2 linked regions of the Arabidopsis thaliana genome follow. The protein of the gene in region 1 purifies or fractionates together with the protein of each later gene. This does not show direct contact. Each region holds a gene or a part of one and is shown in the gene's direction. Other genes may lie near its edges.

What was found.
Region 2: the proteins of SYP42 (region 1) and VTI1B purify together in Arabidopsis thaliana (affinity purification with western blotting, with the first as the bait; one study listed by BioGRID). This does not show direct contact.

Annotation. Positions count from the first base shown.
Region 1 is NC_003075.7:969,275-974,278, reverse strand, and holds SYP42 (syntaxin of plants 42), read left to right. Parts: upstream 1-1,936; 5' UTR 1,937-2,086; coding exon 2,087-2,277; intron 2,278-2,447; coding exon 2,448-2,724; intron 2,725-3,037; coding exon 3,038-3,127; intron 3,128-3,235; coding exon 3,236-3,316; intron 3,317-3,563; coding exon 3,564-3,641; intron 3,642-3,725; coding exon 3,726-3,791; intron 3,792-3,898; coding exon 3,899-3,979; intron 3,980-4,072; coding exon 4,073-4,180; 3' UTR 4,181-4,285; downstream 4,286-5,004. Other genes in the region: AT4G02200 (Drought-responsive family protein), read right to left, coding at 76-193, 289-521, 672-749, 979-1,020, 1,082-1,215, 1,422-1,503; AT4G02190 (Cysteine/Histidine-rich C1 domain family protein), read right to left, coding at 4,928-5,004. UniProt on the Arabidopsis thaliana protein: Contributes to the regulation of secretory and vacuolar transport pathways in the post-Golgi network, and to the maintenance of the Golgi apparatus and trans-Golgi network (TGN) morphologies.
Region 2 is NC_003070.9:9,214,030-9,218,602, forward strand, and holds VTI1B (Vesicle transport v-SNARE family protein), read left to right. Parts: upstream 1-1,740; 5' UTR 1,741-2,073; coding exon 2,074-2,170; intron 2,171-2,830; coding exon 2,831-2,889; intron 2,890-2,978; coding exon 2,979-3,167; intron 3,168-3,343; coding exon 3,344-3,514; intron 3,515-3,611; coding exon 3,612-3,764; 3' UTR 3,765-3,981; downstream 3,982-4,573. Other genes in the region: AT1G26665 (Mediator complex, subunit Med10), read left to right, coding at 481-704, 794-874, 962-1,064, 1,148-1,237, 1,326-1,397. UniProt on the Arabidopsis thaliana protein: Together with either SYP41 or SYP61, required for membrane fusion; the fusion of phospholipid vesicles containing SYP41 or SYP61 and VTI12 is triggered by YKT61 and YKT62.

The DNA of each region.
Region 1 (5,004 bases):
AAACAGAAGCTCATTGGCTTATACTACAGAGTACAGACTACTTTGCGAGAGTTTCATATACAAAGACTTATGCTCTTAGAAGTTGTAAATGTGATCAAATATGGCTGATGATATTAAACCTTGTACAAACTCTCTCTTCTTTGCCTTCTCTAGTAGCTCTGTATCTGACAAGGGAGACGGCGATTCCCAGTCTCTGAGCACACAGAAATACGAAATGTATCTTTAGACAAGGTTTAAGAAGATGAGATAAAGCAAGCAGAATCAAGAAAATGTCAAAGAATTACTTACTTTTCTGTTGAATCCCTTATTAAGCTATTGTCTTCCATGCTTGCTTCACTAGATGAATCAGGTTGTACAAGCTTGGACTTCTTTGGTGACGGCGGATTGTATATAAATGATAATAATGGGTCCAGAACACTTTTAGATGTATGATTAGTAGACAACGGCTCATCGATTAGAGACTGTAAGTATTTCCTAGTCCCTGGAGAAAATGCTGAATATGACTCATCCTTGTAAAGTCTCTGCTTTTGTTCAAGGTAAGTATTCGTCAAGGAACACAAATGTCAGATAACCGATATAAAACATACCAAGATATAGAATAAGCACAAAAAGACTTACAAGTTTTCTACTAAATGGTAACGAAAGCAAGAAGAGTAAATAAAAAAGGATACCTTGAAGACATCTCTATGCTGAGTGGTAATGTGATCAACCATATGCATCTTCACTCGTCTGCTACAAACCGGACATATCTACATCACAACCAAAGCTGAATTTGTGAGAAGTTATTACATTCATCATCACCAAAAGACTGTTTTCATTTCTCACACCAAACACTTCACAACTACAAAATGGTTCCTCATAGCATCAAGCAAATAATCCAAGTGAACTAAAATCCAAGAAGTCCCTACCAACTCTCCTTACAGAATCACAATCCTGCCTACTAAAGTAACCATTAGAGTACAACAATGAACATCACACGATAAATAGTCTAAATTTACAACTAACTGCTTCATGTAAAAACTCAAATGTATAGTTTAAAGAACAGTAACTGATTTGGGAGATGGATACGAGTTGCAATTACCCCATTGTTGGCGTCTAGTTGATGCTCCTCATCGATATGGTGACACAATTCAACTAAATCATAATCATCTGAGCAAAACGGGCATGGATAATCCACTGCCATTTCATCATCATCTTCAAACTCAATACATGAACCTAAACAAAAATTTCACCATCACAAAACTTTTATCAATTACATAACATAAAGTTTACCCATAAAGTGACAAAATTTAAACTCACTAGACCTTAAGGGCCAAAAGAATTGAAATTTGATAAAGAAATTAAAACCACCTGCATATAAAGCATAAACCCTAAAACAAAGCTAAATGCAATTGGGAAAAAGAATGGATCTTTACACTAACCCGACTGATACTTGGCAAGTTCTTCTAATCGATATTTCTTCGACGAATCAAACCCACAAATGCCCAACAAATCTTCTTCCATTTTGATTCTGAATCCACACGAACTTGAATTGAAAAATCTCAGATAATAATTAAAGGAGCATATTCTTCCTCCGTGTATTTATTAGCATCTGTCAGTACTTTGTTCAGCCTGAAAGTGCGAGGAAACACACCAAAAAGGCAAGACCTTTAAATGTGGTCTTTTTCTCTGGCGACATGAGGGAATCCATGGACACGAATCTATTGAGCTAAATCCAATGACCAAACTACCCCTAACCGGTCACTATAGCCTCTTTTACCCTGAACCACCAACGTCCCTCTGTTGACTTTTAGCCGCCACGAATCTACGGGCATTTTCGTCTTTGCGCCACCGTCTTAAAACGTGTGCTCCACACACTTATATTGACCCTATCGCGCAAGTGGACTATAAGCCCAATATATAAATGGGCCTAAAAAGGCCCAAATACTTCTCCTTCGTTGCTAAGTCTGTAACACGCGCTAATGAGAAACGATTTTGCGATTCAGATTCGTTTGCTTTTGCCGACGACAAAAGCTCCGATTTTGTTTATTTTCTCCGGGAAATTTTACTTTCGAGATTCTGTTGAGAATCAATTGATTTGGTATTGATGGCGACGAGGAATCGAACGACGGTGTACCGGAAACACAGGGATGCGTGTAAGAGCGCGCGTGCTCCATTATCTTTATCGGCGTCTGATTCGTTCGGTGGTCCGGTGATCGAAATGGTTAGCGGTTCATTTTCCCGGTCCAATCACTCCTCTTATGCTCCTTTGAATTCCTATGATCCTGGTCCATCAAGGTAATAATATAATGTGTTGTTTGATTCTGCAAAACCTGGGAAATTCTATGAACTTATATATAGAAACGAATTGTAATCATGGGATTGATTTGAGATACAGAATTAGAACCCTAAACGAATTAGGTAACAGAATGAGCAAATGATTTAAGTGTTGTTGTGAATGTTTGCAGTAGTGATGCCTTCACAATTGGTATGCCACCAGCTTGGGTTGATGATTCTGAGGAGATAACTTTTAATATACAAAAGGTGCGAGACAAAATGAATGAACTAGCAAAGGCACATTCAAAGGCTCTTATGCCTACATTTGGAGATAACAAAGGGATTCATCGTGAAGTCGAGATGCTCACTCATGAGATCACAGATTTGTTGAGGAAGTCAGAAAAGAGATTGCAGATGTTATCTACTAGAGGGCCTTCTGAAGAATCAAATCTCAGGAAAAATGTGCAGGTAGGTTGTTGGACACTTTTTCAGAATCGAGCTTGTTAACAATAAAGAATGCATGGTCATTACCTTTTCTTTTGTGCTTTTAGAGAAGAAAGTTAGGAATTTTGGGTTAAATCACTCTCATATGTTTTGACTACCTATCTAGTTGACATTATCAGTCAGCAAAATGTATGAAGTGTTTTTTTTTCCCTCTATATAATGTACTTTGGGTTATTCTATGTTTTGAGTTTGTAGCATGAGGATAAAGTTCTGTGTACATGTATAGTGGGGCTCTCCAATGGACTTGACCTACTTTTTGGCATACTGCTTTTGACAGCGTTCTCTTGCAACAGATCTTCAGAACCTTTCCATGGAGCTCCGCAGAAAACAGTCTACTTACTTAAAACGTCTGCAGCAGCAGAAAGAGGTATGTTTCCTTTATTTTCAAGAAATAAACAAAAAAAGTGTTGATTCTTGAGACATGCATGTACCGTAATATGATGTTCTTATTTGTATTTGGCTTCTCTAATCATAGGGTCAGGATGAAGTAGATTTAGAGTTTAATGTGAATGGAAAGATGTCGAGACTGGATGAAGAGGATGAACTTGGTGGGATGGTAAGTGCTTACTTGTATTGTAAAACTATATATCATTGACAAATTAATAAGGACTTAATATGGTTATCTAGCTAGAGCAATTCAGATTTTTAATCAGTTATCCTTGTCTTCCTTACATTTTTAAGAAACACTTCTTATGGTTATCATGCTAGGACGAGTCAGATTTTTTTTAATCAATCTTCAGAACCTTGTCGTCCTTACTCTGCCAATACCATAATGAGAATCGCTGGTCTTCAATAAATTGTAGGGTTTCGATGAACACCAGACAATCAAGTTGAAGGAAGGGCAACATGTCTCAGCGGAAAGGGAACGAGAGATACAACAGGTAATGGAAGTTGTTACTCGACCATATTTAAGAAGCTGCGTGCTTCACATTTTCGATGGCGATTAACTTCAGAGTTCTGTCTAGGTTCTGGGTTCCGTGAATGACCTTGCACAGATAATGAAAGACTTATCAGCCCTTGTGATTGACCAGGTGCCTAGCTTAGTCATTAAAAGGCTTATGAATTACATAACTGGCTAGATACAAAGTTTTTGCTGGCTTCTCAACAATTAGTTTTCTTATATTCTTGTATCAATTAGGGCACGATTGTTGATCGGATAGACTACAATGTCCAAAACGTTTCTACATCGGTCGAGGAAGGCTATAAACAACTACAAAAGGTTTGATTCTTTACCCAAAACTCATAAGATTTTGTGAGTACTACAGATTTTTCACCGTATGGAACTCACAAAGACATTTCAATTTTTAAATAGGCGGAGAGAACACAAAGAGAAGGAGCAATGGTGAAATGTGCAACTATACTCCTTGTACTCTGTTTGATCATGATTGTTCTTTTAATTCTTAAGAATATTTTGTTTTAGTCATATGCCAACAATTTAGAATGAAAAACAGCTTGTCTTGTTTGTAACAAACAGTAACCCTCTCTTTTTTCTAGTTGAATTCTCTTTTCCAATCGTTTTACCAAATCTGTAGAAGTATTTTGTGTAAACCGTAAATGGTTAAAATCACTATAGTTAAGAAATAAACTGACACTAAACTACCTAGTGGGAAAATGTGATAATCACTACAAGAATCACTAGTCCTCCAAATTCAATAACACATGAAGGAAATCAAGTAATCAACTCATAATGAAAAATTGAAAATGATCTTTTTGTGCAAGGGAGAAAAAAATAAAACAAAAACGAATGCGTTGGCTTCACACACTTTAGATTAGCAAACCTAGACATATAAACTCATAGAGAAACTCGTGACAAGTTGTTTTGAGGCTCATGTTAAACAAAATTTTGTGACACTCGTGCAAGACGATGATCGTCCTCTTGAACTAGAACAATGAGCCGAGAGTACTCCTCTCAGTGCTATGCAAACACAAGCTCTTTGGGTAACTAGGGTTACCTCTTTTTGTTTTTTTATTGATTTTCTTAAAACAAAAGACTGAAGAACAAATACTCGATACAACTCTATTTATACTCAAAGACTCGATTCCTCCTTGGACCAGGATTCAACGGAAAACCTTAACGAAAAATAAAGGAAAAATATTCAAACGACCCTAATAATTTCTTGAACACAGAAAAACGTGTGTGACACACAAAGCCCAAAACTAAACATCATCAGTCTCTCTTTGTAAAACGCTTTATGCAAATATCAGAGCAAAGATAAGAAACTGAGGTTTCAGGTATCTTATAGA
Region 2 (4,573 bases), on another chromosome or scaffold:
ACATGTTAGAACTTAGAAGATCATTAACAGTTTAACACAGCTGATGAAGAATGAAATAAAAGTATGAACGAAACAGATACAAGATAATGATATTCCACGTCAGCAAAGTGTCCAAATATCTTCCGCTTCCCTGTCTTCGTCGGTCCCTTTTCGGTTTTCACGGTAAGGCTCGGAGGAAAACCTAATTCGTCCGGAGAATCTCCACCTCACTCTCGCCAAACGCATCTCTGTTGTAGGTAAGTCACGGATCTTCATTCTACGCTAATTGTTATTGTTATCGTTATTCTTGATCTGGGCGTTTTTGTGGAATTTGCATCTAAAATTAGAAATTTGGATACCAAAATCCACTCCAATTGAATAAGGTTTCTGAAGAATTTTCGTTTGATTTTGAGATCGAAAATTGCGTTTTCTCGTTTTTGTTTTGTTATCGCTAACGCATCAGGTCATATATCTCAAGTTTATATTTTGTGGCAGCTTGTGATGGATCCAACACAGAACACAAGTGCAGGGATTGGTGGGAGCAATGGTACAATCAGATATCAAACCAATGATGGGACTTCAACTGTGACCGTTGCTGATGATTCAAAGGAGAATCTTTCCCAAGTCATAAACTCTATTGAGAAAACTTTAGGAGTCCTTCATCAGTTACACCTTACCGTCACTTCTTTCACACCCGCGTCTCAACTCCATCTCCTCCAGCGCCTGTAAGTAACTCCTCTACTCATCTGTGTTTATTGTTTTGGGTATTGTAACTATTGTTTGAATGAATATGTGTGTGTGTGTGTATTTGCAGTAACTCTCTTGTGATGGAGCTAGATAACATGACTAAGTTGTCTGAGAAATGCAACATTCAAATCCCCATGGAGGTTCTTAAGTGAGAAAACAAGTCCTTTTTGTTTTTAGTATGCACTTTGAAGATAGATACTTTTACTTGCTTACTTATGTTTGCGTTTTCGTATAGCTTGATTGATGATGGGAAGAACCCGGATGAGTTTACGAAAGATGTTCTTAATAGCTGCATAGCTAGAAATCAAGTTACTAAGGGCAAGACTGATGCTTTTAAGGTGACTCCTTTTCTTCTGATTCTTAATTTGTGTATGATTCTTAAGGTTACTGAGTCTCTTAATCAACATTTTGTTATAAATAGGATTTGAGAAAACATATTCTGGAGGAGCTTGAACAGAATTTCCCTGATGAAGTCGATATGTATAGAGAAATCCGTGCTAGTTCTGCTGCTGTAAGTTGTTAACTTCGACTAGTATTGTACATCTTCATTAATATATTATAGTAAGTCAAGGGGATTAAACAGTTTTGGTCATATTCAGGAAGCGAAACGGTTGGCGCAATCGCAAAGTGTGTTACCAAATGGGGATGCAAAGGTCAAGAATGAGCTATAAGAGCCCAAAGGATCCTTTTTATGTTTACCTTGTACTCTTGTAGAATATAATGACTGAGTCGATGAATGTGATGTAACACGAACAATCCCAAGTGGAATTTCTAATAATATCTGTTGGTTCTCTTCACCTGGCTAATATAGTTTGAGAATCTCTGCTTGTTCCCCCCATTTTTACTCGAGTGGACTATCTTACTCTTAGCCTCTGAGATCTCTTTGATTTCATGAGACTATCAAAGAATCCCACATAGTTACGCAAAACAGATTCGACTTCTATCAATGGATTTGTCTATTTCCTGGACGAGTAATCTTGGTTCTGCATAAAATGTACACTATTTCCGAGAGCTGAAAAAGTGAGAAAAGACACTTAGATTTCAATCTTAATTAACGGTTTGATTCGGTTTGGTTTGTCTCACCTACATTTGCATCGATTGCAGCATGGGGGACTTAATACGCAGTGGCTGACACGTGTCAATATAAAACGCACCGCTTTGTTTGATTGTTCCTCCTTGTCCCCGAGCAGAGAAATACAAAGGAAGAAGAAGAAGAGTTGTTTGATTATCTTTAAGCAAAGAGGAAACTGTTTTGCTTCTAGATCCGATCCAATCCAATCAAACAAAGGATCCGATTGATCAGAAAAAATCCACCAAATTTCTCAAGATCGAAACATATAATTGAAGATGAGCGACGTATTTGAAGGGTACGAGCGTCAATACTGCGAGCTCTCAACCAATCTCTCTAGAAAATGTCACTCTGCATCGGTTCTCTCCAACGGAGGTAAAATCCAGACGCTCCCGATTTCGGATCTTGAACGCGAGATCTTCGAATTTACCTGATTTTAGAAATTCGAATCTTCGAATTTGGGGTTATTGGAGCTTTTGAGCTGTGACAAGTAGCTGGTGGACTAGTGTTCTTTACTAATCGTCCTGACTTGTTTAGGATCTGACGAAGTTTTGTAACATTTAGGAATGTTGAGACATAGGATCTGTTTCTCATTGCTTGGATTAGAAGACGATAACCTAGTTAGGTCTAGATAGTTATGTAGTTGCATAGATTTATTAACTTGTTTCTCAATCTATTTCATCTAATTTTGTCCGAATTTGGGGGTATTTGTAAAGTAGAGGTGCATGAGTGTTTACTAATCGTTTTAGCTTGTTTACGATCTGACGAGTTCTGTAGTATCTGGGAATGTAATTTACTTGGATTGGTCAAGTAGTTTTGTGAAGAAATTAAGACTGAAGATAAGATCATAAGAACCTAGTTATGTAGCTGCAGAGGTTTATTGAGTTGGTGTTTTTTTTCATTTGTTTGTCAGTCTATGGTTACCACTGTCTTTCTTGGAGTTATAGTACATAGACATGCATGGAGTTGTTACATTTTGTGGTGCCATAGAACCAGAGTAGAGGTTTGATTAGATATTGTTGTGTGCTTTTATAGAGGAGAAGAAGGGGAAGATTGCTGAGATCAAGTCTGGAATAGACGAAGCTGATGTCTTGGTATTTGCATTTAACTTGCTTTAATGTTGTTACCGTTCTGTTCTTTCTTTTTTAAAATTAATATATATGCTTCTGTGGTTTTTTTGTAGATCCGGAAAATGGATCTTGAGGCAAGAAGTTTGCAGCCGAGTGCTAAAGCTGTGTGTCTTTCTAAACTAAGAGAGTATAAATCTGATCTGAACCAATTGAAGAAGGAATTCAAACGAGTCTCTTCCGCAGATGCTAAGCCGTCTTCCCGTGAAGAGTTGATGGAATCCGGAATGGCGGATCTGCATGCAGTAAGCTTCTAACTCCTAAATAGAAACTCTTGTTTTCTCATTATCTTAGTTGTCTTAATTGACTTGCATCAGTTAGGCTTCTTTGTCCTGAGGGGACCCTCCTTTATATTCATCTTCACACAAACTTTTAGATGGCAAAGACTTTGCTGTGATTTACATTATTGTCCATGTTCCAGGTATCTGCTGATCAAAGAGGAAGATTGGCAATGTCCGTGGAGAGGCTTGACCAATCAAGTGACAGAATCAGGGAGAGTAGAAGACTAATGCTGGAGACAGAAGAGGTTGGCATCTCAATTGTCCAAGATTTGAGTCAGCAACGCCAAACCCTCCTTCATGCGCACAACAAGGTACCGTCTACAATTGCTCGGTTTGGTATCTATCAGTGCCAATGATTTGTTTGAATTAGATCATTGAGAAGCTAACTTTTCTGATTTTGAATCACAGCTTCATGGTGTGGATGACGCCATTGACAAGAGCAAGAAGGTGTTGACGGCTATGTCAAGGAGAATGACTAGGAACAAATGGATCATTACATCGGTAATCGTGGCTCTCGTTCTCGCCATCATCTTGATCATCTCATACAAGCTTTCTCATTAATATACTCAAAAAACATTATTCATCGTGATTGTGTATATATATATGATGGTTGATTTACTTTGTAATGGCCCAAGTGGTTACTTGTATTTTTAAGTACGATGTTTGTATTGAAGTGGCAACACTTTTAACATTCATAAGGTTTCCCAAGTCTTTTCTTTTTTGTCTTTTTTTCCAAAAAAGTGGTACTATTTTATATAAAGCAGATGTTTCAAAAGTTACAACTGTGGAAACTTCCACTTACATCTCAAGTCCAACCTTTGAAAACTTACAACAATGTAATTCCAAAAAGAACAAACACTCCATTGCTCAAAACATAAGGTTTTCCAAGTCTTTACATGAGCCAAAGATCTATACTTATAATGTTTTAAGAAAACTAGGACACCTGACACATCCTTGCCGGACCAATCATCTTGCCGTGATCACCAGTCGCAGGCAGGAGACCCACTGTCACGTCAGAGCATGAAACAAAGGCCTCTCCTTCTATCTCTCTATTTAAAATAACATCAAACATTCACGACACCAAAAAATACACACAAGCCAAACATAACAAGTAAAACTATCCCCGAAACAAATAGTTTTATGCAGTCCCGGCCCGTCCATAACGCAGCTAGAGCATGTGTTTCTGTCGTGAATTATGTTTTCTATGATCTCAGCCCCTGTTATGTTTTAAACCACACGTTCTGGTCTTCAAACTCGTTAACCCATTCCACCCTATAAATCCCTTCTTCGTAAGCAGGGATAGATTGACGAGTGATTGAAAATAATCTTTAATGATCAAGAATTTCCTCCCATTCGCCGGAAATAATTCA